Linked DNA regions of Sus scrofa. The protein of the gene in region 1 interacts with the protein of each later gene in a pairwise test. Links are inferred from orthologs where the notes say so. Each region holds a gene or a part of one and is shown in the gene's direction. Other genes may lie near its edges.

Region 1 (9,900 bases):
CGTGGCATGTGGAAGTCTCCAGGCTAGGGGTCTAGTCTAGTTGAAGGTGTAGCCACCAGCCTACATGGGATCCGAGCCGCATCCACCACCTATGCAACGCTAGATCCTAACTCACTGAGCAAGGCCAGGGGTGGAAGCTGCATCCTCCTGGATACTAGTCAGATCCGTTTCTGCTGAGCCACGACAGAAACTCCCAAGGAGCTGTTTTCTTTGATCTCGGATCACATGTGGTATGTATATTTTGTCTTTTGGGCAGAAATTGTGATTTAGTGGTTGGCTCATAGTTTAATCTGTTGGCTCTGAAGGAAAGTATATTCTAGAAAGGTGTGATATTTAATTGATGTTATAAATTGGCAGACAGATGTAATTCACTTGCCCAACCTCTCCCTTTATTGTTAGTATGTGCTTTGCCACCATGCCTCTCTCTGTTGATCTGGTTATTTCCTAGCCCTTCAGCTCTTAATTGCTTTGTATTTGCTAAGAATGCAGTAAGCTTAAGTATAAATAAATTCAGTGAGGGTATTAAAAATAGACTCCTTGACAGCTGGTACTGGGGCCTGAAAAAGTGACAGAGATGAGTGTGGCATGGTCCTGTCCTCAGAGTGCTCTTTCAGGCAGGAGTCACACACTTGTGATACTAATTTTTAAGGTACCATTACTCTTTTAATATCCAAACAAGCCTTTCGCCTGAACTCCCACTTCTGAGAATTGACCCTAATGAAATATTCTAAAATATGGGGAATAAGCCTGTGAGCCTTCCTTCAGATAAGCCTTTTTCAGATGAGAAATTGGGTCCTAAATGTACATCTCAGCGAAATAAGTGATCTAAGTTCCATTTACCTGATGGAATGTTATGCAGCTATTAAATACATACTTATGAAAGCGCTATACCATGGGAAAGAGCTTATGCAATTGTGTTGGTGAATGAAGACAGCGTATAGAATTATATATACGTTACTTAAAGCTCATCAGAATAGAAATTTGAAGTGAAACAAAGATGAGGTATTGATTTTCACATAACTAATTGGCCATGACAGTGGGAGCTCCCGTTGTGGCAGTAACAATCACTACCAGTAGGAGGATACAGGTTTGATCCCTGGCCTTGCTTAGTGGGTTAAGGATTGGCATTGCCATAAGATGTGGTATCAGTCGCAGATGTAGCTTGGATCCTGTGTTGCTGTGGCTGTGGTGTAGGTTGGCAGCTGTAGCTCCAGTTGGACCCCTAGCCTGGGAACTTCCATATGTCATACCTGCAGCCCTAAAAAAGAAAGAAAGAAAGAAAGAAAGAAAGAAGTGGCCATGACAAATGAAAATTAACAGGGCTGGCAGGAGTGTGGTGAGACCTACATTTCAACACACACAGTCAGGATTGGAGATCCTTTCTGGAAAGCAGTTTGGCAGTTTATGTACAAGCCCTAGAGTGTTCAGATGTTTTTTTCTTATAATCTCAGTTCTAGGGATCTTTCCCTGAGAGCTTTAAAAAAAAATAATAACTAAAGTTGCAGGCTATAGATTTCCAGTGATAGGGAAATAGTTAAGTGAATGACATAACATCCACGCTAGATATTATGATGTAATGCAGCTATTAAATGTCATACTCTCACAACATAGAAAATGCCTGAGGAACAGTGTGAAGGAGAAAAGAAGCAATAACAGTAATAATAATAAAGCAAACTCTTACAGCTTGTACTCTGTGCCTGGTGTTATTCAAATGCTTGCTTGCTTTCTTTATTTATTTTTAGGGCTGCACCCGCAGCATATGGAGGTTTCTAGGCTAGGGGTCCAGTCAGAGCTACAGCTGCACAACAACGCAGGATCCGAGCCACGTCTGCCACCTACACCACAGCTCACAGCAACGCCAGATCCTTAACCCTCTGAGCAAGGCCAGGGATCGAACCGCAACCTCATGGTTCCTAGTCAGATTCATTTCTGCTGCGCCACGACGGGAACTCCTCAAATGCTTTACATATTAGCTCTCACAACAGTTCTGTGAGATAGGTCCTATCTCACAAGATAGAAATAATTATCTCTATTTTTAGATGAGGAAAGTGAAGCACAGAGAGGTTCAGTAACTTGCCCAAAGCTACACAGTTCATTAGATCTAGTGATATGATCGGAGCCCAGCATATTGGCTTCAGTGTCCATGTTTCGGGCACCAACACTCCATCAGCAGAGCCTCCGAGGATGTGGAGCACCTTACAGCATGATCCTAGTCATAGTTGTTGATTTACTGTGTCTTCAAGTAAAATGAAAGAAAGGCAAATACACTAAGGTATTCTGGTTTATAAGATTACAGGTAATTATCTTATTCTTTACACCTTTTTTCCCTGTTTTCTCAATTTTAACCTATGTTCTTTTATTACTTTTGTAAGAGAAAAAATAATAAAGGATTTTAAAGCATACGTTTGAAAAACATTTTTTAAATATACTGGAAAATAGGAGTTCCTGTCGTGGCTCAGCGGGAATGAATCTGACTAGTATTCATGAGGATGCAGGTTTGATGCCTGGCCTCGCTCAGTGGGTTAAGGATCTGGTGTTGCATGAACTGTGGTGTAGGTTGCAGAGGCGGCTCGGATCCCATATTGCTGTGGCTGTGGTGTAGGCCAGCAGCTGCAGCTCCGATTCGGCCCTTAGCCTGGGAACTTCCATAAGCTGTGGTGTGGCCCTAAACAGACCAAAAAAAAAAAAAAAAAAAAAAAAACTGTGCTTGCATCACTCTTGTAAGAAAAGAACATAAGGAAAAATGTATTTATAATGCATATTTTTTAAATGTTAATCATAGTGATCATTTTGTAATTTAGAGAAATATCAAATCATTATGTTATACACCTAGAATTAACAGTGTTGTTGGTCAGTTATACTTCAATTTAAAGTCGAGGAAGTTCCCATCATGGTGCAGTGGAAATGAATCCGACTAGGAACCGTGAGGTTGCGGGTTCCATCTCTGACCTTGATCAGTGGGTTGAGGACCTGGTGTTGCTGTGAGCCGTGGTGTGGGTCGAAGATGCAGCTCGGATCTGACATTGCTGTGGCTGTGGTGTAGGTCAGCAGTTACAGCTCTTATTCGACTCCTAGCCTGGGAACCTCCACATGTTGCAGGTGTGGCCCTAAAAAGACAAAAAGACAAAATAATAATAAAAATAAAATCAAAAAGAGAGGAGTTCCCATAGTGGTTCAGCTGTTAGCAAACCTGACTAGCATCCATGAGGACACAGGTTTGAACCCTGGCCTCGCTCAGTGGGTTAAGGATCCGGTGTTGCCATGAGCTGTGGTATAGGTCGCAAATGCGGCTCAGATCCCAAGTTGCTGTGGCTGTGGTGTAGGCTAGCAGCTGTAGCTCTCATTAGACTCCCAGCCTGGGAACCTCCGCATGCAGAGTGTGGCCTTAAAAAGCGGGGGGCGGGGGGGGGGTGTTATCAGATCAGAACCCTTTTACTACTTCCCTTCTTTTTTTTTTTTTTTTTTTTTTTTCCCTTCCTTAAATAGGGCCACGCCCTCGGCATATGGAAGTTCCCAGGCAAAGGGTCAAATTGGAGCTACAGCTGCTGGCCTACACCACAGCCACAGCAACATGGGATCCGGCATCTGAGCGGCATCTGTGACCTACACCACAGCTCACAGCAACTCTTGATGCCCGACCTGCTGAGCAAGTCCAGGGATCAAACCCAAGACCTCATGGATGCTAGTCAGGTTCGTTTCCGCTGTGCCACAAGGGGAACTCCCTCACTGCTTCCCTTTTGTACTAACTTCTTTTTCTCGCTGCCTCCACAGGAAGGAAGAGGGAATGGTTTAAAATAGAAGATGCCATAAAAGTGTTGCAGTATCACAAACCGGTGCAGGCGTCGTATTTTGAAACGTTGAGGCAAGGCTACTCAGCCAACAACGGCACCCCGGTCGTGGCCACCACGTACTCAGTGTCTGCTCAGAGCTCGATGCCAGGCATTAGATGACTGAAGACTTCCTGTAAGAGAAATGGAAATTGGAAACTAGACTGAAGTGCAGATCTTCCCTCTCACCCTTGCTCTTTTCACCTCTCCTCACAGGCCTCCTCTTTCAAATAAGGCATGATGGGCAGCAGAGAAAGGGTTTATTGATAACGTTGCTGTTTGGTGTTAAGTGATCGGGCTTTTTCTTCTCTTTTTATTGAGGGGGTGGGGGTTGGGTATGTAATTTGTAAGTACTTTTGTGCATGATCTGTCTCCCTTTCCACACCCCTTCAATCCTCTGAAGAGGCAAACAGCCTTCCTTCTGCCTTGGATTCTGAAGTGTTCCTGTTTGCCTCATTCCAATCCTGGCCAGATATTTTTCTTTGATTTTTAATTTTTTTTTTTTTTTTTTATTAAAAGATACCAATATGAGATGAAACCTTTCAAGAATTTGTCCTATAATGTGCTCTTAAGTCTGGTAGGTTGGTCACTTTCACTGCAGGATACATTTATCTACACATTATATACTGGGCATATAATATGTAAATAAATGGCTTGTAGGAAGGGAATTTAACTGTTTACTTCTTAAAGGTTTTGTTTTTTACATTTGGGGTGTTTCTGGAGAGCCTCACAATTAATTCACCTTTTTTGTTTTTGATGCTAGTGGCTAGGTGAGTTTCCCCGCCCTCTGTTTTTCCCCCGGCCTTGGCCGTAGTTATGTGGGTGCAGGGAGAGCTTCGCTACCTTCATGTAGGTGCTCCCAGGACTCATGGCCTTCTCTTCCCGACGCTGTTTCCACGCCAAGAAAGAAACAGGAAGAAACCCATTTTCTTTTTTATTCCGAAGCCTCAGCTCAGATCTGGAGAAACAATGATAGAAATTGTATTCCTCCCTACGTGTTAACCATAGGGATTTGAACTGGATTCTTGGAATTACTATCTAAAAAACTGGAGCATCGAGCACTGTTTCTATCCTGCTGGTTTGGAATTTTTTCCATAATGCTACTTACCGCTGACAGCGGCCTCTCTCCTTGTACATACATGCCTTACATCGTGCTGAACTGGATGTTGTCCTTGTGCTCCGAAGCATCCGGCTGTACCTGGTGAGTGCAGCTGTGCAGTCCCGTCCGCATTCTGAGTAACCGTGTTAAGTTCCTAAGGAGTACACAGGAGGAGAATTCAGGTCTTTGCTTGCCTTTGTCAGGTATACAACACTTGTAATTGCACCATGGAGCATGCTCAGAAATAGTAAATTTGTCTCCCCCCTGGGATGTGAAAGGTCCGTCCTCCACTGAGAAGTGGTATGGGAGGAGGCTTAATCCCTTTCCAGAACAGCTACATAGTGCATTGGCTCACTGCAGACTGTCTTGTTGGTTTTTGCTACAGGTTTGATGCTGGTTTCATTTGCCAGTTGTGTTGTTTAGTTGAAAAATATGCAGAAAAGGGTCTTGGGGTGGGGCGGGTGCGGGAGGGGGGCACTGATCGGTCCCTGGCTGGGGACAGGAGTTTGTTGCTATACTCTTAGTGGCACCTCCTTTGTCAGAACATAGCCAAGATGTGAAATTAAAATCGTAGTTCTCTTTATTTAAAAATTCTAATAAATACTCAGACTTTGAAAACCTTTTGCTCTTCCCTCCCACTAAAATGTATGTATGTGGTAGGCCTGTGTCATTTAACGTTCAGCATTTTGGGGGACATCAGTCGATGAACTTTTTAATTTTTGCTCTCTGCTCTCAGTTTGCATCTTCTTTCCTAGTCTTGAAACACGGAGCCAGAAACAGGGCCAGCAGTTTCCTTAGGACACCGCTCTACCTCTGGGAATGAAATTTTGCTCCCAAGGAAGGGTCCCAGTGGATAGATAGCACCATGGGATTTGAGTCTAAAGGCCAGCTCACTGTTCCCATGTCCTACTTTAAAACGAACACACTGCTGCTTATTACCTGATGTAGGGCATTCTGAGGTTCTGGCCAAATAAAGAAGAAAATAAAATAAATTCAACTGAGCACTAAATGCAATCCCCAAAAACACATTCTTCCAAATAAATTCTTCCTTTGTGATATGGATTGAAAGTGCTTTGCAGGAAAATAGTCAGTGGTCCTGAAATAGGAATTGCAGTGTTAATAATAGTTTGTGCATTTTTTTAATGATCTGAAGATGTTTTCACTGGGCTGGTGTAACAGTATACCACCCTACAGAATCCAGTTTGGATTGTTGTTGGCGTCTTTGGGTCAGGAAAGTGAACTGTGCCAAGAAGTATTTTTTAGTGACGTGAATGGATCCCATTAATGCGGTTACTGGAGAGATTGTGCTGATGCTTTCCTAACTGACAAAAGAAGGCTTTGTCCAACACTAGAATTGTTGAAACTGGTGCTGTTTTCTGTTGCACTGGGATCCTGAGGAGCAGGGGTTGGTGTTTTCCCTCCCTGGCACCATAAACACCATGGCTGTCTTTACTGGCGTAGCAGGCACCACTTTCCGGGGTAGATTGCTTAGACCCGTGATTGCAGCAACCTTTCTCTCTCCCCTGGAGAGAGTGAGGAGAGACAAAAGAAAGCACAAAGTTTACCCTGCTTGCAGAATATTCCAGTGACACTGATTTGCCATTAATCCTGTAAGTACTCATTTTATTTGGGCTTGACAGAAGCAGGTTCCTGTGTTCAGGGCAGATATAAAGTCTTTCCCACAGTGAATTTGCATGTCGTAGATTCTTGGTTGTTACCGGAGTGTCCTTCAAAGTGCACCATACTCAGGATAGAGAAAGAGAGCTGTGGATTTCTTTTTTAATTAAAATTTGTTTTTAGTTTATAAATTACAGCCCTTTGGGAAACACTAGTGAGATCATGCCTTTCTTTTTTTTTGTTTGTTTTTTTTTGTTTTGTTTTTGTTTTTGTTTTTGTTGGACCAGGACTGGGAGGTGGGGGGTGGGTAAGGGCTCCAAGGGTTTAGATCTTTAGGTAGGCTCTCAGAACAGTGCAGTCCGTGACACAGGAGTCTTGATTTTTCTCATAGCAGACATAACCGGATGGAAAAGTTAATGAATGGATTGTTTTGTGCCCTGCTCGGAGAGTTCCCTCACTGAGTCTGAGCCGAGGCCATCTGGAGGGATCAAAGAGGGTGGGAGTATCACCCCCTGGGAGGCTGAGGAAGGCCTGGACGCTGGCCTGGCGGCAGGACCTCTGCCCTCTGCGCTGCATTGCGAGTCCTGTGCAAAGTGAGGCACTTGAGGCCTTGCTACTACCCGTGGCCTCCGGGGAGCAGAGCGGGTCACCGCCCTCAGAGAGTGCTTGAAGTTTTGCACACGCGTTGCCACATAGTCAGCTTCCTTCATGGCAGAGAACTGTTCTCTGTTTTGGTATTAGGAGTTGGCCCATGTAAAAATCTCTTAGACTTGCTTAGAAGAAAAAAGGTCACGTTTTGTTTTCAGAATTCTAGAAGGAAAAAGTTCCCAATGGAACTTTGCTTGCTCCTTCACCCTCCCTTTTCTCCTCCTCCCATACCCTGTGCAGGGGTTTATTCTAAACCTCTTGCACCAGCGAGTCATCAGTCTTCTGTTGCACCTGAGTGTGCTTTTCACACATTGAACTTAATGTATTTGTCATTTCCGTCTCAGTGCTGTGCGTTAATACCTTTGTTGCCTCCCTACTTTGATCTTTTTTTTTAAAAGAGCTTAGCCTGAGCCACTTTTTTTTTAGTTTAGTTTAAAAGAAGGATTTGATAACCACAATGTGATTTTTGCCACGACTTTATGATTTTTAGATTTCTGAATTATTCTCTAAGCCCGACCTGGTTGAGTTGAGAGTAGATTTAGAATTAGAAGAAATACCTGGAGAAATCTCCATAGTAGGATGAATTTTTGCTTTAAGAGAAATGAGAGTTAGCTATGACTGATAATACAGCTTCATCCTGGTCCCATCCGCATTTCACAAAAAAATAGGAGACATGCAAGACAGTCAACCCAAGCAGCCCTGGGGAGAGATTATTTGATGATGATTAGATAATGCAAATGCCTCTTCTAGTTCTCATTCTTGAAGATTCCAAGTCAGACCTGAGGCCTTGTGGTTCATAGTGTCCAGCAGGGTGGCAGTCGTTTTTTCTGAGCCCGGCTAGGATGGAGCCTATCTCCCTAAGGCTGTGCAGCTGGCAGTGTGGCCTTAGCCTTGGTCATCAGGGCACCCACCTCAACTGGAATATGGGAGAAAGCACCCCAGAGTCAGCCTCGGTGCTTTGGAGTGAGCCTGGTGACGGAGACCCCACCTTCCAGGAGAGCTGTGTTTTCCATGTCACCTTGTTTGTTACCTAAAGCAGTAAGACATTTGCTTTCTTCAGGTAACCGTGAAGTGCTATCCACTGATTGCAGTTCGTTAGAAGATACTGCATCAGGTTGACTGAGGTCACCAGGGGTCCTGGGAACCTGGAGAGCTTAGGCAGACTCTTCTTTGGAGGCCAGAAGCCTCTGAAAGGACTCTGGCCTCTGAAAAGGCAGCTTCACATTTTGACAATATTTTTGCTTTAGCTGATAACCTTTCAGGGATATGAGAAGCCTAATCAGGACATCTGAAAAAATGATACCTCTCACCTTCAGGTTAATCAATTCTCTTAGTGCCCTTAAAAATTAGAGAGAGGAGAATATCCCATTTGGTGTTGCTTTGAACAGATCCCTTGAGCAGAGGCTGGCCGTCACATGATCTGGTTTTCTCTGTCCCTGCAGTATGAAGCTTTCCAGATGAAAAGGCATCTCTCTCCCCTAAAGCTTTGTTTATAGTGATGGTTTGGTGAGCTTGAGATTGTCTTAGAAAATGAGCCCATCCATTTGGCTAGGGGAGTGAAAAGGGAAGCCACTTTAATTCACAAGTCAGCACACCAGGGGGGACTCTGCTGGAGAAGGAAGTGCTTTTGGCTGGAAAAGCAAGATTAATATCTAGAAGGTGGCAAGTCATTGCTTCTGTTCCGCCAGCAATGAGTTGTTTAATTAAATACTCTAGGTTTCCTTTGCTTTACATTCCCAATTCTAACCCCAAACAGTGGCCACTGGAACACCAAAAAAGGCATTTAAACCCCTGAAGATGGGCTTTAAAAGATACAGAAACAGCAGCATTGTCATTTTCCAGGTTCATCACCATTTTGCTCTGCTACCCATCCTTTCCCCACTGCAGCCAGGCCAGATGTGAAGTTTCTGTTAATCTATGAATTGGGAAACATAAATTTGGGTTCTGGAACAATTACCAACTAAATTGCTTACCATCTGTGGGGTGCACCTTTCAGAGAATATTTTAACGATACAGTGAAATCGCTCTTCTGAGTTTGAGGTCCCAATCGGGCATTAAGATCAAAATCTTAAAAGTCTTTGGAACTCCTTAGGAGAAAAGCAAGCTGCCTCAATCTCAATACTGGACCTTGAGACTGTACTCCCCTCTTCATAGTGTAGGGTGGGGTGCCTCACCTTAAGGAAATCATTTTTCCAGTTAAGATTGACCATAAATCCGTACGAGAAGTAAGCCTATCTTTCTGAACACTTTTGTGCTAGATTGAAAATACTAACCTAAAGCTGCAATAGAAGATAGGTATCCTCTTTCACCTCATTACTGTCCCACTGAAAAAAAAAAACAAACAAACAGCATTTCAGGGTTAAACCTTGGTCTGTTTTGTATCTGTTCGTTGTGGAGAAAATATATCACTAATAAATGATCCAAAGAAAACACCTAGTTTGGTTCCTCGTTTCCGGCTACATAACAGATAGGACTTTTTCCAGAGAAGATAGAGGCTGATTATCAGGACCTCAGAACCGGAGTGGACAGACCTGCCCCACATTGAGCCTCCATGGGGGCAGGTGGACGTTAGGTCCTAGAGAGCTTCCACACGCTGGGGGAGGGGAGGGCCGCGAGGACAGGAAGGATTTGGAGGGGAGCGGCGAGCATCTAAGCCACGGGGCGCAGACACAACCCTGCCTTCTGCCTCCTCCCATATGATGAGGGTAC
Region 2 (9,900 bases), on another chromosome or scaffold:
TGGAGGCGCTCCATCTGCCCTTGGGGCTTTGCTCCCCTCGGACTGACCTTAAAGCCACTTTCCACTCCCTCCCCCCACCCCACCCCCAGGCCGGAGGGCAGCTGTTCATCACTACAGGGGAGACACCCTAGGTCCTCTCCTTGGGGCAGCAAACAGGAGGTGCCCCAAGCTTGGCTTCTACATTCTGTGGGAGTCAGACCTTCCTCCACCTCGAGTCCTCCCTTCAGCTCCCTGGCCCGTGACCCCCCCCCCATGGGGTCACACAGATGGTACAACAAGGGGCAAAAAAGACCCCAGATAGACCCCACTTCCTGAGTTTGTGCTGGCCTGATGCTTAGTGCCTTTAATTTGATTTTTTTTTTTTTAGGGCCACACCTGCAGCACATGGAGGTTCCTAGGCTAGGAGTTGAATCGGAGCTACAGCTGCTAGCCTACACAATCGCCACAGCAACACGGGATCCGAGCCGCATCTGTGACCCCCATCACAGCTCACAGTAACACTGGATCCTTAAGCCACTGAGCGAGGCCAGGGATTGAACCCACGTCCTCATAGATAACTAGTTGGGTTCTTGACCTGCTGAGCCATGACAGGAACTCCCACTGAATTTCCATAACCCGGTGGTGAATGAACGGTATCACTATCCCACTTCACACGCTAGTTCTCGCCCAAGCTGAGACATGGCTGCGCTGGTTCTCGGACCCGAGCCGGCTGGCCCTGGAGGACCCTGAGCCCCACACCACTCCGCTCCCCTGCAGGCTGGGCGGCTGCGGGATGGCTGGGGGGACGGGGTCTCAGGAGGGACCGACATCCACACGGAACCCAGGAGGCTATCAACCGCCCAGGAAATAAATTCACCCGGGACAAGGTTCACACAGCGCTGTGGCTAAGACCTGGGACCTCTGGCCGAGGGGAAGGAGTTTGAGCGACAGGGACATAGAATGCAGCACTAATACAAGGAAAGGCGTATCCTGAGAGGGGTGTGTTGTGATGCCGTCTGGGGGGCCTTGCCGGGAAGGATGTGTCAGCATAGCCCGGCTCTGCTGCCACTTACGGCGTTTGAAGGGTGCCAGGAAGGCTGCCCTGCAGCCCAGCTGCTCTGACAGGGGCTGAGACGTTCGCTGTGCAAATGTAGTTTGGGTTCGGGGAGTCTGCACGCGGGGTTCGTGCGCACCTGGCCGAGCCGGTGAAGGAACCTCAAGCTCGCAGCACAGGGAGCCAGGGCTCGGGGCTCCGGGCCCCAGGGGCAGTGACTCACCTGGTGCTTCTCGTCTGTCTTCAGGTCCCAGCTCAACTCCCGGCCCCATCCGGGGAGGCGGGAAGGCTGTGTCCAGCCGGGAGCCCCTCAGCACTCGCCCCACGTATTCGCTGGCCTTGGGTCCGACGTTCTACGGGAAATGGGAATCTGTGATCAGCTTAGGCTGCTGGTCTGGGTGGGTGGGTGGCTCTGGGAACCCCGACAGTGACCACTCTCTAGTCCACTTCCGCCGTGCGGTGGGCAGCAGGTGTGGACTGTGGCACAGTAGGGCCTGGTGGGGACAAACGGCGGCCCCTCGGGGCACAGACGATGGTCGAACTCAGCGTGGGCAGGGCTGAGATGGGGCAAGGCTGTCTGCAAAACTGACTAGATTTCAGCCAGGAAAGGAACAAGTAGGTGTTATTTAGGACGAGAGGGAGGGGGACAAGGGGGATGGGGAGAGAGGCCAGAGGTGGGGAGGAGGGATGTCTGAAGCCATGGTTCTCAAAGTGTGGTTCCCAGACCGGCTGCATCAGCATCGTCTGGGCGCTTGTTAGAAATTCACATGCCTCACACCTGTCAGAATGGCCATCGTTAGAAAGTCTACAAATGACACGTGCTGGAGGGGGTGTGCAGCAAGGGGAACCCGCTGCACTGCTGGTGGGAATGTAAATTGGTACAATCACTGTGGAAAACAGCATGGAGGTTCCTGAGAAAACTATATATAGAACGACCGTACGACCCCGCAGTCCCACTCATGGGCATATATCCGGACAAAACTTTCTTTGAAAACGACACATGCCCCCTGCATGTTCGTTGCAGCACTATTCACAACAGCCAAGACATGGAAACAACCCAAATGTCCATCGACACACGACTGGATTAGGAAGATGTGGTGTATACACACATGTCCTCCGGGGCTTTTCCCTGCGCAAACACATCCCTGGTATGTGCCCCGATCTCTTCTCATAAGGACACTGGTCAGACTGGATTAGCGCCCAACCTGATGGGCCTGGCTCTAACTTAATTACTTTTGTGAAGGTCCCATCTCCAAATACAGCCACATTTTGAGATGTTTGGGGTTAGGGCTTCAACATGGGAATTTTGGCCGGGGGAGGGGCGGGAGGAGACGCAGTTCGGTTCATAACCAACTGTATGCCGACAAATTAGATAAAGTAGATGAAGTGGACAAATTCCTAAAAAGACACCACGAGCTACCCAAACTGACTCAAAAAACAAAGAAAAAATTAGAACGTCTGGGAGGACGTGTAACAAATGAAGAGCTTGGATTAGTAATTTAAAAACCTAAAAGAAAGCCCAGGCCCACTCAGATGAATTTGACCCAAGAGTTAAAGATTTAATACCAGTTCTTCATAAACTCTTCCAAAAATTCGAGACTACTTCCCAACTCATTCTCTGAGGCCAGTATTACACGGATACCCAAACTGGACACATACAAAAACCACAGGAAAAATGACCCTTAGGAATATAGACTCAGAAATCCTCAAAATATGCACAAACCGAATCTAGCATCACATGAAAAGATTATACACCATAACCAGGTGGAATTTCTCCCAGGACTGCACAGTAGGTTTAACATCTGAAAATCAACCCGTGCAGTACACCCCTGAGATAGAATTAGTGAAAGAAAGCGGGCACAATCATTGCAATAGATGCAGAGAAAAGTACTTAACGAAATCCAACACCCTCTCATGATGAAAACACTCAACACACGAGACACTGGAGAACTTCTTTGGCCTGATAAAGGGCTCTGTGAAAACCCACAGCTCACAAGACGCTTCGTGGTGAAGGAATGAAAGCTTTTGTTCCAGGACCAGGAACAAGGCCAGGAGGTGCCTCCCAGCCCTGCCACTCCATGTAGGGCTGGACATTCAAGCCAAGCAATTAGGCAAGAAAAAAAAAAAAAAGGCACACAGATTAGAAAGGCGGATGCCTCTGTATTGATTTACATACAGACAACACGATTTTGTAGGTAGAAAATCCCGCGAGTCTGCTAAAATTGGATAACTAACCCAAGCCCCTACTTGCAAGGTTCTCCCAGGCCAGGAGGCGGGGCCGTGTAAATGCCAAGGGCTGTTCCCAGAGGCGATGTTTCAAATGGGCCCATGCGGACTCTGTACCATCTAAACAGGAGACTGCAGGATGGCTGGCTGGGTGGGGGCAAAGGTGGGCTCCTCAGGCAGAGAGAACATATGCAGAGAGGCAGGTGTGTGTGTGTGCGGGAAACCACACTGAGCTAGCGGTGTGGCTGGAGAGGGGGCTGCGGGAGGCAGTGGCGGGTGGGAGACCAGTCAAGGAGGCGAGCGAAGTCCAGACCACGAAGCACCATCTAGACCTTGCTGGAAGGTTGGACGCCACCCCAGGCACTGGGGGTCCCTCAAGAATGTGAGTAGGGGTATTGGGGCCAATCCCACGATCACGTGTACAGTGGCTTGGGTTTCGTGCAGGGTCCCTGGGGTACGCACGTCCTTCTGCCCTGGGCAGACGGGGCAGGGCCTGAGTGCTAGGTTTTCTCCTTTCCAGGCTTCTGGGTGGAGCGCACCCCCGTGCACGAGGCGGCCCAGCGGGGGGAGACGCGTCAGCTGCAGCAGCTGATCGAGAGCGGCGCCTGCGTCAACCAGGTCACCGTGGACTCCATCACGCCCCTGCACGCGGCCAGCCTGCAGGGCCAGGCGCAGTGCGTGCAGCTGCTGCTGGCTGCCGGGGCCCAGGTGAGCCACCCTGAGACCCCAAGCCCCAGGATGGGCTGGACAGACCAGCTCCAGAGGCCTTCGAAGAGCATTCTGTTATGCAAACACACAGAAAGAAAGGAGACCACTAGAGGAGGCTGGGAAGGGGCAGGGGGAAAGGAAATCAGAGTAGGCTGCAGTGGGTGCCCAGGCAGGAGGGAGGGCCGGCCCATCTTTATGGCAGCCTTGCGCGGAGGATGCTCATGGACCTGGCTGTTGGGAGGTCACTGGTGGCGAGAGAGGGATGGTTTAGCAACATGGTGGCGTGCTCTGCATGCCCGTGGGCCGGGCAGGCCGTGGACACAGGCAGGCTGCCTGCAGGCCTGGCAGGGCCTTGGCTGCAGGAGCTGTCTGGCCTCCGAGATGAGGCTAAGTGGGATGCTGGCACGCCAGCTCTGGGACGGAAGGTAAGAGGCCCAAGAGCAAGATCTCTATTTGCTGCTTGCCCTGGCGTAGCTGCCAAACCCCAGCCCATCTGGCGCTCTGGCCGTATCCGGCTGATGGAATTGCTGGGAATTTAACAGTGGGCTGGGTGAACTGGTCGGAGCTGGCCTGGCTTGCCCACCCCTGGACAGAGATGGGGGCAGAAGAAGGATGGTTGTCCACTATTACTTTTCCAGAACTTGGCTATCAAGGCCGTTCCAGACGGGGCAAACAACCTTCAACACAAACCCAAATGACAGCTGAATCTGGACCAATTCTAAGCAGAACCTGCCAGTTTAGGGAGTTGCCTTTTTCCTGCCCTGTGGTTTTCCTACTAGAGGAGGCCTGTTAAACAGTTTTGGGGCCTCCTCCTGGCGAAGGCTGGAGTGAAAACCCCTTTTCACATCCCGCCAGGGCTCACTGGGAGTTGGGGTGGTGTCTGGAGCGAGGCTGAGTCAGTCTAACCCGGGACAGAAAAAAAAGCCCAAACAGCAGGCCCGCTGCACCTGCGTGGCCTGTAGGCACCGCCTGCTTCCTGTCTCTGAACGGCCTTGCCTGGCTCGGTGCCCCAGCAAATGACGGAGAACCCAAGAACTTCTTGGAAAAATGACCCAGCGTGTTTGCAGAGTTGATGGTACATTGGGTGGAGGACGCTAGCAGCCTGCGCCCTCCCCCACCCTGACGCTGGATTCTGCCTCGACGCAGGTGGATGCCCGCAACATTGACGGCAGCACCCCGCTCTGTGACGCCTGCGCCTCAGGCAGCGTGGAGTGCGTGAAACTGCTGCTCTCCTACGGGGCCAAGGTCAACCCCCCCCTCTACACGGCGTCCCCGCTCCACGAGGCCTGCATGAGCGGTGAGTCGGGGGGCAGTGCGGGCTGGAGGGGCCACCATCGCTGGTGATGGGCTCCCAGGCCGTATGTGGCTCTTGGATCCTAGGCGTTTTGTCCTGGAGACGCTGTCCTCGGGCAGGGCTGGGGGCTGGGAGCTGGAGGCAGGGCTCCAGTTCCAGCCGAGTCACTGCCTTTCGAGATGCCACCCCTGGAGGCAGGTCCCCTCTGTGCCCCTCACCCGGCGCTGCTGACCTCCTGCCCTGCGGCCCCATCTCTTGGGAGAGGCAGTCCAGGCGCATCCCCGAGGGAGGCGGGTGCTCTCAGAGCAGCGGGGAGCTGGTCCCTGAAGCTCAGGGAGCAGGTGGGTTTCCAGCGCCCTCCGAGAGTGGAGGTTGAGGCCACCCCAGTCTTGCTGGGTCACAAGGGCCCCAGAGAGGGGCTACAGCAGGTAGAACCCAGCATTTGGGGTGAAACCAGCTGGTGCCATGTTTCAGATGACAGACTAGGGAGTTTGGGTTCCACTGTTTGGAGCAAGGGCTGCATGCTTGTGTCCTGGGCTTTGGCTGGCACGGTGTTCGCTCTGGCTGCATTTGTTGGGGTGTGGGCCCCACGCAGGCCCACTGTCCCTGCTGCCTGCACCCCCGTTCCCACAGTTAGGTCACCTTTGTCACCCGCAGGCACTGGGGATCACTACGGGCAGCTTTGAAGGTTTTTGCGCAGATGCTGAATGATGACAGCAAAACCACCTTTTGGAAAGGTCTGTCTAGTGGCCATCCACATACAGGCAGGGGAGGGAAGTTTGTTTTTTCTTCCTTCACCTGCCTTAGGTTCATTGGCCAGGGCCCTGCCTGTTAGACTGACAAGGATCAATTAATAAAAGACAAACAAACAAAAAAAAATTCGAGTTCCCATGTCACGGCGCAGCAGAAACGAATCCGACTAGGAACCATGAGGTTGCAGGTTCAATCCCTGGCCTTGCTCAGTGGGTTAAGGATCCGACATTGCCGGGAGCTGTGGTGTAGGTCACAGACGTGGCTGGGATCTGCTGTTGCTATGACTGTGGTGTAGGATGGCAGCTGTAGCTCCAATTAGACCCCCAGCCTGGGAACCTCCATATGCCTCGGGTACGGCCCTGAAAAGACAAAAGGCAAAAAAAAAAAAAAAAAAAAAAAAAGATGAACAAGCAAAAGTGGGTTTGTGTGTGCCCTGCACACCCACACAGGAGAGCCAAGGCAAAGGGTGGTTAGAACTTGGGTTCATATGGCACCCCCCTTTTTTTGGCTGCACCCAAAGCACACAAAAATTCCCAGGGCACAGCTGTAATCAGAGCTGCAGCACAGACAACGCCAGATCCTTATGCTGCTGAGCCACGGGGGAGTTCCTCCTGCGAAGATGAATGTAGTATCTTAACAAAGAGCAGTGACAGGACCAAGAAAAGGACTGAGCTTCTGGAGCTGGCAAGCTGTGGGAAGGCAAATACACAGGGGAACCACTGGGACGGAAAGCCTGTCAGTAAGGTTTGCTGTGTAGACGCCTCAGTGGTGGCTCCGGCTGATCAGGGTTCAGAGCCGTCCTCGTGATTAGCTTCTGTCCTTCCTGGCAGAGAGGGGAGGGGACCCTTCCCACATTTACCTTTGTCCTACTTTTGGGCGAAGCGGGGAGGGCAGAGAGTTAGTCTTCCACTGGCTTCTTCATCTGTCTTCGGCTCACAAGGATCCCCATGCCAAAGGGGCATATCGGGGGGGGGGACCTCTGCACCTTTCCATGAAATGGTGGGGGGACGCACCTCGGAAGTGAGATGTGTTGGGGGCTGTCACTGCACAAAGCTTGTGGAGCCCAAGAGGGATGGGTTCGCCTGGAGCGCTTTGGGGGAAGAACATGAGGATTTGACGTAAAGGAGAGGAGAGCACGGGGTCAAGGCCGACTCACTTGTGGTGGTGGAGACGTCCACACATGGGAATGAATGGCAGGCGCCAGGCCAGAGAGGTGGGGCTGGGTTTTTGGGCTGGAGACTCAGGAACCAACCACCGAGCATGACCAGGGGACGAGATGACAGAGCTTGGGAGGGAGTAGAGCCGGAGACAGACCCCAGCCCCACCCGTAGACCCAGCCCCAGCCCCTGTTAGAGATGCTGCAGCAGATCCAGGAAACAACCTGGAAAGCTGTCCACTGGGGGGGAAGGGGGACACGAGGTGGGGAGTTTAGGGAAGTTCATCCTGACTGCAGCTTGGGGGGCAGCCAGAGGTGGGGAGCCCCTTCTCTCCCCCCGAGGGCTGAGGGGCAGTGAGAAGTCTTCCCTGTGTCCACACTGGTACCCCAACTTTCAGCTGGGGCCTGGCCGTGCCCATCCTTCCTCTGTTTCTCATGCCGGGTGGGCTTCAGGGCCCCCTCTGAGCTCCCCAGGGGAGGCACCCACCCCCTGCTCACCAGGGCCACCTGGGGCCTGGGCAGCTCCTGGCTGGGGAGTCGTCCCACTCCCCCCTCTCCCACTGCCGCCTAGCTGGGGGCTTACCTGTCCCAGCGCCTGTCTGCCACGCTTATTTCAAATGTGTGTGACTCTGACACCTTTCTCCTGGCTCCATCTCTTTTAAGGAAGTTCTGAGTGTGTGAGGCTTCTTATCGACGTTGGGGCCAATCTGGAAGCGCACGACTGCCACTTCGGGACCCCGCTGCACGTCGCCTGCGCCCGCGAGCATCTGGACTGCGTCAAAGTGCTTCTCAACGCAGGTGCGTTCTGTTCATACCTGCTTTGCCCAGCGCAGGTGCGCAGTGTTTATACCCGCTCTGCTCACGGCAGGTGTGTTGGGTTTAGCTCGTCCATTCCGGGGCAACTCAGGAAAAAACCCAAACGGTTCAGAAAGAGAAAAAAAGATGAATTCTCTCCAGGTGACAGCCTTTTGAGCATAAGTTATACGTAGTTTTCTCCTAGTGAGTCTCACTCACTTTAATGCACCACTTCTAAGGCTTTTTGGAGAACACAATTTGCTCTGCATAGGGTTGGTCCCTGGAGTGGTTTTTGTTTCTTATGCAAAGATAAGATATCTGGATTAGAAGCGGCTGCAGGCCTTCCAGCCGGGCTGGTCGTGGGGTGGCTGGATCCAGTTTCTGTCGGGCATCTGCGGTTAGGGTTCCGCGCTCTGCAGGGCGTTTTCCTCTGGCTCCTTTCTTGTGGGTGGAGGAGGGCATCGAGTCGGGGTTTGACCTTTGTGCTTCCTGAGGACCCCTCGGTAAGCAGACTCCTTTGGAAGCAGAAGGAAACCAGCTGAGACCGAAAGCGTCAGAACTAGAGCAGGTTTCAGGGTCATTCCGACCCCGGATTCAGCCGTGTCCTCAAGAACTCGCCCCCTTTGAAGTTCATGGGTCTGCCTTGCTCCCCCTTCCCTCCATCCTAGGCCGGCATCCCTACTGGGGAGAAATGGGCTGAGCAGAGGGGGCTTCCCTGCAGGCATTGGCCTTGGGAGCCTTCTGACTGCGTCCTCATCCCGGGAGAGTGACCTGCTCTCACAGCTTCCTGTGTCCACTGGCCCCAACTGGGTTTGTGTCCAGTCCTCTCCCAGTCCTTTCGGCCAGACTTGGCCACAGGCTGATCTGCTGGGATCCGCACAGGAAGTTCTGAACCCAACTCAAATATTGTGCCGAGGGAACGTTTTAGCTCGGCCACCTCGTTCATTCTGAGCAGCCTGGGAGAAAACCCACATGGTTCAGAAACAGAAAGAGGACCCCTTCCCAGGACCCCTGCCCCAGGCCGCAGAATGGGAGCTCAGGGGATGGGCTGGAAGGAGTGGGGGGCACGGCGATGGCCACGACGGCCTCAACCCTTCAGTTATGGAGTGAGTCTCCCTCCCTGGGGTGGGCGTGAGGGACGAGGGGGCTGCTCCTGGGGGTCCCTGTGGGGTCAGCCCCTCTGCCAGCTCTCTGCGGCGGACGTCACCCCTGATTGTCTTCTGACCTCAGGTGGTCTCCTGTGACACCCCTTCCTGGATCACATGCGTTCTTTTTCTTAAAGAAAACTATTTGTTAACCGTGGCAAATCTCAAACATGAAGAAGAAGAAGACAGCAGGTGTTTCTTTTTTTTGTCTTTTTAGGGCCACACCCGTGGCATATGGAGGTTCCCAGGCTCGGGTCTACACCACAGCCACAGCCATGCCGGATCCGAGTCACGTCTGCAACCTACACCACAGCTCATGGCGACACCAGATCCTTCACGCACTGAGCGAGGCCAGGGATCGAACCTGCAACCTCATAGTTCCTAGTCGGATTCGTTTCCACTGCGCCACGACGGGAACTCCGTGTTTCTTTTTTAAAGTGGGATTCTTAGCTTTTTGTGGGGTGGGTCACGGACCTCTTGGAACATCTTTTTTTTTTTTTTTTTTTTTGCCTTTTCTAGGGCCATTCCTGTGTCATATGGAGGTTCCCAGGCTAGGGGTCTAATCGGAGCTGTAGCCACCGACCTATGCCAGAGCCACAGCAATGTGGGATCTGAGTCGTGTCTTTGACCCACACCACAGCTCACGGCAACGCCGGCTCCTTAACCCACTGAGGAAGGCCAGGGATCAAACCCGCAACCTCATGGTTCCTAGTCAGATTCGTTAACCGCTGCGCCATGACGGGAACTCCGGAACATCTGTTTTTTAATTTTTATGGCCACACATGCAGCA
Region 3 (10,346 bases), on another chromosome or scaffold:
ATATATGTATAACTGGGTCACTTTGCTATACAGCAGAAATTGATAGAACATTGTAAATCAACTATAATAGAAAAAATAAAATCCTAAAAAAAAAGATACTGATGAGATACATATATTCCATTCTCATGACGAAGAATACTGTTAAAATGTCCATATAACCCCAAGCAATCTACAGATTCAATGCAATTCCTGTCAAAATTCCAATGGCATTTTTCACAGAAATAGGACAATCCTAAAATTTATGTGGTACCACAATATAGCCAAAGTAATCTTAACAACAAACCTGATTTCAAACTGAATTATATAGCCATAGCAATCAAACAGTATAGTATGGTTTGGGATAAAAACAAACACAGATCCATAGAACAGAATAGAGAGTCCAGAAATAAATTCATGCAGAGTTCCCATCATGGCACAGTGGCTAACGAATCCGACTAGGAACCATGAGGTTGTGGGTTCAATCCCTGGCCTTGCTCAGAGGGTTAAGGATCCCGCATTGCCCTGGCTGTGGCGTAGGCCGGCAGCTATAGCTCCAATTAGTCCCCTAGCCTGGGAACCACCATACGCTGTGGGAGGGGCCCTAGAAAAGACCAAAAAAAAAAAAAAAAAAAAATCAAGGACACGGCAGGATAAGGATCTAGTGTTGTTGTGAGCTGTGGTGTAGGTTGCAGATGAGGCTCGGATCCCACATTGCTGTGGCTGTGGTGTAGGCTGGCAGCTACAGCTCCAATTAGACCCCTAGCTGGGAACCTCCATATGCCGTGGGTTTGGCCCTAGAAAAGACAAAAAAAGACAAAGAAAGAAAGAAAGAAAGAAAGAAAGAAAGAAAGAAAGAAATTCATGCATAAATGGTCAATTAATTTTTGAGAAAGTAGCCAAAACTATACAATGAGGAAAGGATGGTATCTTTAACAAATGGTGTTGGGAAACTGGTCAGCCACATGCAAAAGAATGGAACCAAACCACTATATTACATCATAGACACAAATTTAACTTGAAATGGATTAAAGAATTAAATGTAAGGTCTCAAACTATAAAAGTCCTAAAGGAAAACCTAGGCGGTAAGTTCCTTCCCATTGGTGATGACTTTTTGGATCTGACTCCAAAAGTAGTGAAGGCAACAAAACAAAAACAAATAGGTAGAAAGACATTAAATTAGGAGTTCCCGTCGTGGCACAGTGGTTAACGAATCCGACTAGGAACCATGAGGTTTCGGGTTCGGTCCCTGCCCTTGCTCAGTGGGTTAACAATCCAGCGTAGGCTGCAGACGCGGCTCGGATCCCGCGTTGCTGTGGCTCTGGCATAGGCCAGGGGCTACAGCTCCGATTCGACCCCTAGCCTGGGAACCTCCATATGCCGTGGGAGCGGCCCAAGAAATAGCTAAAAAGACAAAAAAAAAAAAAAAGACATCAAACTAGTAAGCTGCTTTTGCACAGCAAAGGAAACCAGCAACAAAATGAAAAGGCAGCATATCAAATGGGAGAAGATATCTGCAAATCATATATCTGATAAGGAGTTGATATCCAGAGCATGCAAAAAAAAAAAAATACAACTCAATAGCAAAACCCCAAACAATAGAATTAAAAAATGGGCAGAACTGAATTGACATTTTTCCAAAGAAGACATATAGATGTCCAACATTAAAAGGTGCTCAAAACTATAAATGTAATAAAATTCATTAAAAAAAGGTGCTCAAAATCACTAATCATTGGGGAAATGCAAGTAAAAACCAGAATGAGCTGTCACCTCACACTTGTTAGAACGGCTATCATCAGGAAGAGAAAAGTGTTGGTGAGTCTGTGGATAAATGGGAACTCTTATATACTGTTGGTGGGAATGTAAATTGGTGCAAGAATTATGGAAAACAGTATTGAGATTCCTCCAAAAATTAAAAGTAGAAGTACTATAAGATCCAGAAATTCCATTTCCAAGTATGTATCCACGAAAAACACCAACTTGAAAAGATACCTACACCCCATGTTCACTGCAGCATTATTTACAATATCCAAGATGCGAAAACAACCCAAGTGTCTGTCCACCAATGGATGAGTGGATAAAGAAAATGTGATGGAACACTATTCAGCCATAAAAAGAATAAACTCTTGTCATTTGAGACAACAAATATCAACATACATCTTGAGGGCATTATGCTAAGTGAAATGAGTCATATAAAGACAAATACTATACGTGGAATTAAAAAAACCCAACCCCCCCCAAACAAATCCATTGCTACTGAAACAGATTGGTGGTTGCCAGAAGTGGGGATGCTGAGGTGAGTGAAAATGGTGAAGGGGGTCAAAATTTACAATCTTCCAGTTATAAAATAAATAAGGCATGAGAATGCAATGTATAGCATGAGTACAGTTAATAATACTGTATCATATTTAAAAGTTGATAAGAGAGTAGACCTTAAGAGTCCTATTCGAAGAAAAAATTTTTTTTAATCTAAGTATGGTAATGGATGTTAACAGGACTTGGTGATCACTTTACAATATAAACAATATCAATTAATGTTGTACACCTGAAACTGTCAATTATACCTCAATTTAAAAAATTTTAAAGCATACCTCTCCGTATGAACCCAACACCAGTTTTATTAGCTTCAAAAGACACAAAACGGCAATACAGCACCTAGCCAGAGAGGAGTTAACTCAAGAAATTTTTTAACATCGCAGCTGCAGTTTCAAGGCATTTCCACCCAATCATGGGGTCCCTTAGTCACAAAAAATAAAGTTGAAGTGGAAAGTTCCCCTATATTCCTAATATACCTTTTATGCTTTGGAAGAAAAAACAAAGAAAATTTACTCATAATCCCCAAACCCATTCCTCTCTGCACGCACAAGTAGAAAGCACTGAAGTTAGGTTCCCAGATTCCAAATTCAGGTTCGCAGTAACTGCGGAATCTTAGGTGTTACCAGCCTACACCTTAGTTTTGCCAGTTGCAAAATGGAGATAATAGTACTTACCTTTTATGCTGTGTGAGGATTAAATGAATTCTGGTAGAGTGTGGTTCGGTGCTTGGAACATAGTAGGCGCTCAAATGCTACGGCAACGTTGCAGGTTTCTCATTTTCGAGTACATTCCCTTAGTATCTTATCCGAGACTGCGCTAAGCCCCAGAACCTCCAGGCTAAAACCTAGCTCCCGCCTTCAGCTGGACACTGCCGGCTGGTGGGGACGCTGGCGACGGCATTAAATGACTGCTTAAGTAGCAGAAAGGATTAATGCCTATTAACCTAGCTTTCTCCTAAAAGTATTTCTACTGTCCCCAAATCCTGAGTTTTTACCGAAACCCAGCGAGTTAGCATCTTCAGCTGCCTAGCAACTTTCTGAACTTGCAAATGAGCGACTTATGTTTTTGCGCAGGCGTTTTGGGTGAATTGTAGCGGGAGGTCCTAGCACCGCCTCTTCCGGCAGGCGCGGGCGCCGATTGGTCCTCGTGACCAGTATAAGAGGCTGCGCGCAGGCGCGAGGAATCCCTTTCCTCAGCTGCCGCTAAGGTGCTCGGTTCTTCCGAGGAAGCTAAGGCCGCGTTGGGGTGAGGCCCTCACTTCATCCGGCGACTAGCACCGCGCCTGGCAGCCCCCACCTAGCATTGGTCCGCACCATGGCTTCCGTCTCGGAGCTCGCCTGCATCTACTCTGCCCTCATTCTGCACGACGATGAGGTTACGGTCACGGTAAGTGTTGGCCTGGGCTGGCGGCGAGGCGGCCTACGGGTGGCCGGCTCCCCACCCTCGAGGGCGTCGCGGGCAGGCCCTTAGGGCTGGAGCCGCGGCTATCCACACCACGGCACAGGGCCGGAGGGATCGGGCGCACGTGCCGGGCGGCCTGGGTCTCGGCCATGTGCAGGCCCGGGAGGGAGTGGATTTCACTTTCGGCGTCGCGCTCTGGCTTTGAGAACCTTTATTTGGAGAAACTTGTGCAGCGCGTCGGCAGGCTCATCTGTAGCTTGTTATATCCCAGGACTTTTTATACCTCTTCTTGGTGTGATTGCTTTGCCTGTGGTTCTGTTAGTAGGCCTTGTGGGGCTTGGCCGCGTGGTGTGGAGGGGAGCACTCGAGCCCTGCTCCACTTCTGGCCTTGCCTCGCGACTTAAAATAGCTGCGTGACTTGAGCAAGACCCAGCCTGGGAAATGGCAGGGATGGACTCGCCGCCTAGTAAAGTATCTGGCATACAGGAACAGAGGCTTTTTTCTTTCTTTTTTTTTTTTCTTAGTGACATTCTTCACAAGAGTGTAAAAAACGGTCGCCTTAAGCCTAGGTGCAGTGCCAGTAGGATATTTGAACTGGTTAAACTGGTTTTGTACCCAGGTTTTGAGTCATTTGCTTTCAATTTGCAGTATTTTGGAGACATGTATGGAAGCTATACATTACTCTGATGGATTGTTATTTTATTTGTTTTAGGAGGATAAGATCAATGCTCTCATTAAAGCAGCAGGTGTAAATGTTGAGCCATTCTGGCCAGGCTTGTTTGCAAAGGTAAGGTGATGGCGGCAGAATGATTTGGAGAAACTAATTTTGGAAGACTTACTGATTTATTAAGTCAGGTATTAATTTAATCTCCAGGAGTGCCAGGAGGCCCCATGTTCCCCTGGACTTGTCCAAGTATAGGCAGTATTTCCTCACATTTCTATCTCTAAGAGCTAATTAAGTTTTTGGTGTCATGTCTTATTTTCTGGTCTCAGACTTCACTTTCTTCTGTTATAAAACCACGATAGAATATGTACTAAGCAGATAATCCCTTCATAAAAGGATCACCCAGGAGATAATAATATTTGTGCTATTCCAAGTAAACTGCCACCATAGAAATTGGTGCGGTGGTCTTTTACTGAATACTTAAAGACTAGTGAGTACAGCATTCCTACCCAAGGAACTTGGAAAGAATTCCTAGTTTGAGTGTTTTAAGGAAGCTTAGGGTGTCTTCCAACTCGTTAAGTATTTTGGGGCCAGTTTTTTCATCTATAAAAGTAAGCAATTCAGTGACTCTTGATTAAAGTATAGCTGTCCTGTCTAAGTAGCAAACAAAATGTCACTGGCAGATTCCAGCAAAGGTGAAGAAAGAGAAATAGGTACAGTGTTGGGATTGATTACTAAGTTCAAAAGGAGTTCCATTTTTCCCTGGTGGGTACTATAAGAAAAGAACAGAACTGAACATTAACCTGTATATGCATGTGTTGCAGGCTCTGGCCAATGTCAACATCGGGAGCCTCATCTGCAATGTGGGGGCTGGTGGACCTGCCCCAGCAGCTGGTGCTGCACCAGCAGGAGGTCCTGCCCCAGCCACCACTGCTGCCCCAGGTAGGAAACTTGTTTCAGGAGGGAGGAGTGTGGAGATTGAGTATTATGGGCAAAATTGTTCTTCATTTGCTAAGAGTAGCTGATATATAGAAATCCTAAATCCAGAGGCATAGTTTGATAAGGGAAGTTAAGGGTATTTTTGACCATGTCAGTTGAAAGGCCTGGAGTTTGAGAGGTAATTGACTTTATATTAATTTTTTATTTTTTATTTTTATTTTTTTAGCTGAGGAGAAGAAAGTAGAAGCAAAGAAAGAAGAATCTGAGGAGTCTGATGATGATATGGGCTTTGGTCTTTTTGACTAAACTTCTATAACATTCGATAATAAAAAGCTGAGCTATTCACTGATGTTGGTCTTGATAATTCTGGGGGTGTTGCTATGTAAAGATAGCCACTGGCTTTGTCTTTTGCCATGGCAGAAACTCTGCAGCATCACAAACTGTATGGGGAGGCAGGAGAAGGTTCAGATTGTCCACATTACCCACATGACTTCATGATTACAGAGTTTATCCTCTATACCTGAATCTGAGTTAGAGTCACTAGACCTCAGATTTAGAGAGCCCCTTGGATAATTTCCAAGTGTGATCCTGGCTAAAAATTTTTGACCTGTGCTGAGCAATATGAATTAGAATATTAATTGTCACATCCCTTGGGTTTAGTTCAACAATACTGAAGGAGTGGGGGAAGTTCAGGTTAAGGTCTCAGTTATACCAAGTGAATGAAGCCAAATTTCAAACCTGTATTTTGAAAAGCTAACAAGTAGAATAGCTTTTGGGGAGGATGTGACAGAACAATGTCAAGTGTAAATTGGTTCACTTTTCAAAGTGCCAGGGACCAACCTAGGACTTGGATTTATAACATCTTGCCCTTACCTCTGTGCATTTATTGATAAGGACATGAAGTTGAAGGGTTCACAAAAAGCAGGGTTTTCTGGCCCCAACTGTCTTCACTCCAATATACGGGACCATTTGTTACCTATAGCTCTTTGGCAAGTGGCTGGTGTGTCCTGTAAAATCAAACCCATATTAGTATTGCCCAGCAGAAACTACCTATCAAGAGACATCTCAGAATGTTTAAAGCAGTGAAAAATCTCTATCAAACAAAAGAGATGGTCCTAAATTATCAGTGGAGATTACAGTTACAGAGGAATTCTTAGTAACAGGTTAAAACCCAAATCCATGGAGGATTCAGGGTGGATCCCTGGCCTCCCTCAGTGGGTTAAGGATCTGACGTTGCCTTGAGCTGTGATGTAGGTCAGCTGCTGTAGCTCCCATTTGACCCCTAGCCTGGGAACTTAAATATGCTGTGAATGTGGCCCTAAAAAACAAGAAAAAAAACTTGACGCTCCTGTAAACTGTTACACAGTTGTTTGGTGTTTTGTTTTGTTTTTGTTTTTTTTTTGTTCTTATCACCTGAAAATGGGAGTGATCCATACGTGAAAAGTAAAGCTTTAAAAGCACCTTTTGGGAAAGAGAAAAACTAATTGAAGTGAAAGAATTTTTTTTTTTTCCTGTCTTTTTAGGGTTGCACCCGCGTCATATGGAGATTCCCAGGCTAGGGGTCCAATCAGAGCCACACCTGCCAGCCTACACCACAGGCATAGCAACACGGGATCTGAGCGCATCTGCAGCCCACACCACAGCTCACAGCAATGCTAGATCCTTAACCCACTGGGCTAGGCCAGGGATCAAACCCGTGTCCTCATGGATGATAGTCAGGCTCACTAACCACTGAGCCACAAAGGGAACTTCGAATTAAAAGTATTTATGTGATAAGACAACTGGATAAATTGCTACAAATTCAAATAGAATGTGTCAAATTCTTTTTTTTTTTCTCTCCTATAACTTGAAGGAGCATATACAGTAAAATTCTGAGGGAACAGTGTGAGCTAGGTAACTATTGGTTTGATTGGATGGCACTTTATAGTTTAAAAATAACATTCACAGATTCTTCCATTCTGAACTTGACACGTCAGGAGAACTTAAGTAGCCCTGTTCTATATCAAGACCCAGTTCCTGGTAGAGTTTGGGTGCCTTGTCAAGTTCACACAGCTAGGGCAGGGCCTGCCACCTCAGCTGTCTCAGTCCAGCATTTCTTTTACCAAACCTGGTATCTCTTCCACACACATGCTTTTATTTTTCTTCTCTGTCACTTTGCAAGCCATTTCTCAGTTCCTTTTCTTTGCAATCAAGCCTGGGCACTAGCTAGAGATAGACAAGGGCTGCCTTTAAGAGAAGATTGATGTTTTTAGTTCTGGAACAGCCAGGAGATGCCCGTTCAAGTCAGAACAAACGCTACACAGCATACATCATGGTAACTGGACTGTTGACATCAAATTCAACAATCTGGAACCCTAAAGTCAGGACACAGGGTCAGGGACCATCACACATATTTTCACAGGATTGCTCAAATAGTTACGGTCTTCCCAAGAATCCTCCAAGTTCTACTCAATTTAACTTACTGACACTTCCAGTCCTCTTATTTGTATACTTTGAGAGTTATTTTGATGTCCAATTAAAGTAAGAAGTGTGTCTTTCACCTTCCAGATCTTTGCACTCACTATCCCCACCTATCCCTGGGCCATTGACTACTTAACCCAGTTAATTCTACTTATTACACCACAGGAAGCCCACCCCAGGCTATACATATTAAATCTCTGCCCAAGTTCTCTGAATACCACTGCAAAGTAAACGTGTAATTGTGAATTTCTGGTAGTTTGTTCAACTGTCTTCCTCCCTCCACACAGTGAGTTGGGGGATCGGGCTGTCTGTGTTGCTCATCTGCATCTCCAGTACTTAAGGCAACACTTGGCTCTTGTTGGCATTTACTATTTGTCAGAGCCCAACCGTCTTTTACACAGGAGGAACGGGAGAAGGACCTTGTTCAGCAGCAGTGACTGGCAGGACCACAACTGGAACCCAGGTCTGGACCAGCAACTATCTACTGCAGCAGGCCTGCCCCCACTGCCAGCCCCTTTTAATCAATTCACACTTGGTATGCACCTTCCCGGTGGCCAGGTGCTGGTGTAGGTGTTCGGGCCTTGAGTTGGGAACCCACGGACAGAACAGAAGTGCAGACGCAGTTCTGAGGTTTACACATTATGTAATCCTAAACCCGCAAGGCTCAGCTTTGGGGACCCAAGGCTAGGGTCGGACCCCAGGTGGATGCCCGAGCCAGGCCTTATTGATGAACACTGAATTCTTAGCAGATGGAGTAGCCGAAGCAATGCATGGCGCCCCCTGACCCGCCCCTCTTCCTGGGCACGGTGACCTGTCTCGTCCATATTCCCTACGATGAGGAAGGCTATGCAGGAAAGCTCGCAACTGAGTCCAGGCGTCCGGGTGGAAGTGGTCTCAGTTCGCTTGAACCTTACACACCGAGAAAACACCGCTCTCCACCTGGCACTGACGCCTATACTTCAGACGCCCGCGCTCAAGTACTTATAGTCCACGTCTCGCCAATCAACGTCCAGGGCTGGGAGGAAGGGGCGGAACCTGGAGGCGGGGCTAGAAGCCGAGTGTGGCCGAATGAAGCCGAACTTCTCAATTGCACTGAGGCCTATTGATCGCTAGGGGCGCAAGAGCCTGCTTAGCGGCTGTTGCGCATGCCCATTATCACCGGTCCCTCTAGTAAAAAGTTTTAAAATCAGGTTTGGTGGCGGTTTCGAGGTGGCCTGCCCTGGTTAGTGGATCAAGGGAGTTAATCTGTTGTGAAACCTCTAGATCAGGAGATTCCTGCACATTCACTACCCAACAGAAATGGGATGGAGCATATTTGTAAATTGGGACTAATAAGCCCATTCCTGCCACAAGGAGTTTTGTTTTGGGTTTTTTTTTTTTTTGGCCCACACTGGGGGCATACAGAAATTTTCGGGGCCAGGGATCTAATTTGAACTCAACTGTGGGTCTAGGCTCCTTAACCCGCAGCGCAACAATAGATTTTGGCATTTGGGCATTACTCCTTAAGATCAGGAGAGTTAGTTCCCTGTTCTTTTACTCTAGGTAAACAGATCCTGTTTCCAGGACCCTGGTTTCCACAAAACGTTAAACACAGTGAAAGAAGCGAGAAGATTTGCTCTCTCTCTCTCTTTTTTTTTTTTTTCCAGGGCATATGGAAGTTCCCAGGCTAGCGGCCAAATCAGAGCTGCAGCCACCAGCTTAGGCCACAGGCACATCAATGCCAGATCCCAGCCGAGTCTACCACCTACACCACAGCTCATGGCAAAACACAATCTTAATCCGCTGAGCGGGGCCAGGGATCGAACCCACATCCTCATGGATACTCATGGTTACCGCTGTGCCACAAGGGGAACTCCTGCTCTACTTTTGACTGGTCATTAGCTGCGTTACCTGGGAAGCAGTTAAACAAAACACAAAAACTGAATGAAACAAACAACTAAACAGTTTCCCCAGTTCTCCTGAGGAGTCTGATGATTAGGGGTGGGAACTCCTGCATGAGAGCAAACCCAGCTGCTCACACAGTGCCTGACATTTAGAAGGTGCCTAATAAGCATTGTTTGAAAGAATGACCGAATAACTCCGTAATCAATAATTTAGATATTGAAGGAAGATTTAACAATTGAATTACAACCATGTTGCCAACACTTGGAAAATGGACCATTGCTCTGAGTGACAATTACTACAACTTCTTAAGGAGTGTAATTGGGTTTTGTCTCTCAGAATTAAAAGTGTCCTTACCTTCTACCCAGAAATTTCATTTATTAAGAATCCATTCAAAAACATATATACAATTTTACTGAGGTATTATTTATAAGCAGGAGAAAAAAGTGCTTGAGAAGAGGCTTTCATGTAGCCCTTAACAGGACTGCCATTGAAAGATATTTAGGATTTTTGTTAAGTGGAAAAGGCAAGTTGAGGCCAGTATGCATAATATGACCCTAGAAGATTCACATGCCTCTGTTTATACGTGTAAAGAAAACTTCTGGAAAGATTCAAAAGCAACGCAGTAATTACTTCTGAGAGGAGAGACTGGACAGGGTGGGAGAGAGATTTTTTCCATTTCATTTTATCCTTTTCCATATTGTTTACA

What was found.
Region 2: the proteins of NUDT3 (region 1) and ASB13 interact in a two-hybrid assay, tested with the Homo sapiens proteins (2 studies listed by BioGRID and IntAct). The link is inferred for Sus scrofa from reciprocal best matches to the Homo sapiens genes NUDT3 and ASB13.
Region 3: the proteins of NUDT3 (region 1) and RPLP1 interact in a two-hybrid assay, tested with the Homo sapiens proteins (2 studies listed by BioGRID and IntAct). The link is inferred for Sus scrofa from reciprocal best matches to the Homo sapiens genes NUDT3 and RPLP1.

The regions. Positions count from the first base shown.
Region 1 is NC_010449.5:30,345,339-30,355,238, reverse strand, and holds part of NUDT3 (diphosphoinositol polyphosphate phosphohydrolase 1), read left to right. Parts: intron 1-3,771; coding exon 3,772-3,950; 3' UTR 3,951-9,900. UniProt on the Homo sapiens protein: Cleaves a beta-phosphate from the diphosphate groups in PP-InsP5 (diphosphoinositol pentakisphosphate) and [PP]2-InsP4 (bisdiphosphoinositol tetrakisphosphate), suggesting that it may play a role in signal transduction.
Region 2 is NC_010452.4:65,285,849-65,295,748, forward strand, and holds part of ASB13 (ankyrin repeat and SOCS box protein 13), read left to right. Parts: intron 1-488; exon of another isoform or gene 489-852; coding exon of another isoform or gene 853-1,386; intron 1,387-2,057; coding exon 2,058-2,181; intron 2,182-3,779; coding exon 3,780-3,967; intron 3,968-5,113; coding exon 5,114-5,264; intron 5,265-7,833; coding exon 7,834-7,968; exon of another isoform or gene 7,969-9,900. Other genes in the region: uncharacterized protein LOC106505208, read right to left, coding at 853-1,386. UniProt on the Homo sapiens protein: May be a substrate-recognition component of a SCF-like ECS (Elongin-Cullin-SOCS-box protein) E3 ubiquitin-protein ligase complex which mediates the ubiquitination and subsequent proteasomal degradation of target proteins.
Region 3 is NC_010443.5:167,292,620-167,302,965, forward strand, and holds RPLP1 (60S acidic ribosomal protein P1), read left to right. Parts: upstream 1-3,464; 5' UTR 3,465-3,606; coding exon 3,607-3,678; intron 3,679-4,405; coding exon 4,406-4,480; intron 4,481-5,181; coding exon 5,182-5,299; intron 5,300-5,522; coding exon 5,523-5,602; 3' UTR 5,603-5,645; downstream 5,646-10,346. UniProt on the Homo sapiens protein: Plays an important role in the elongation step of protein synthesis.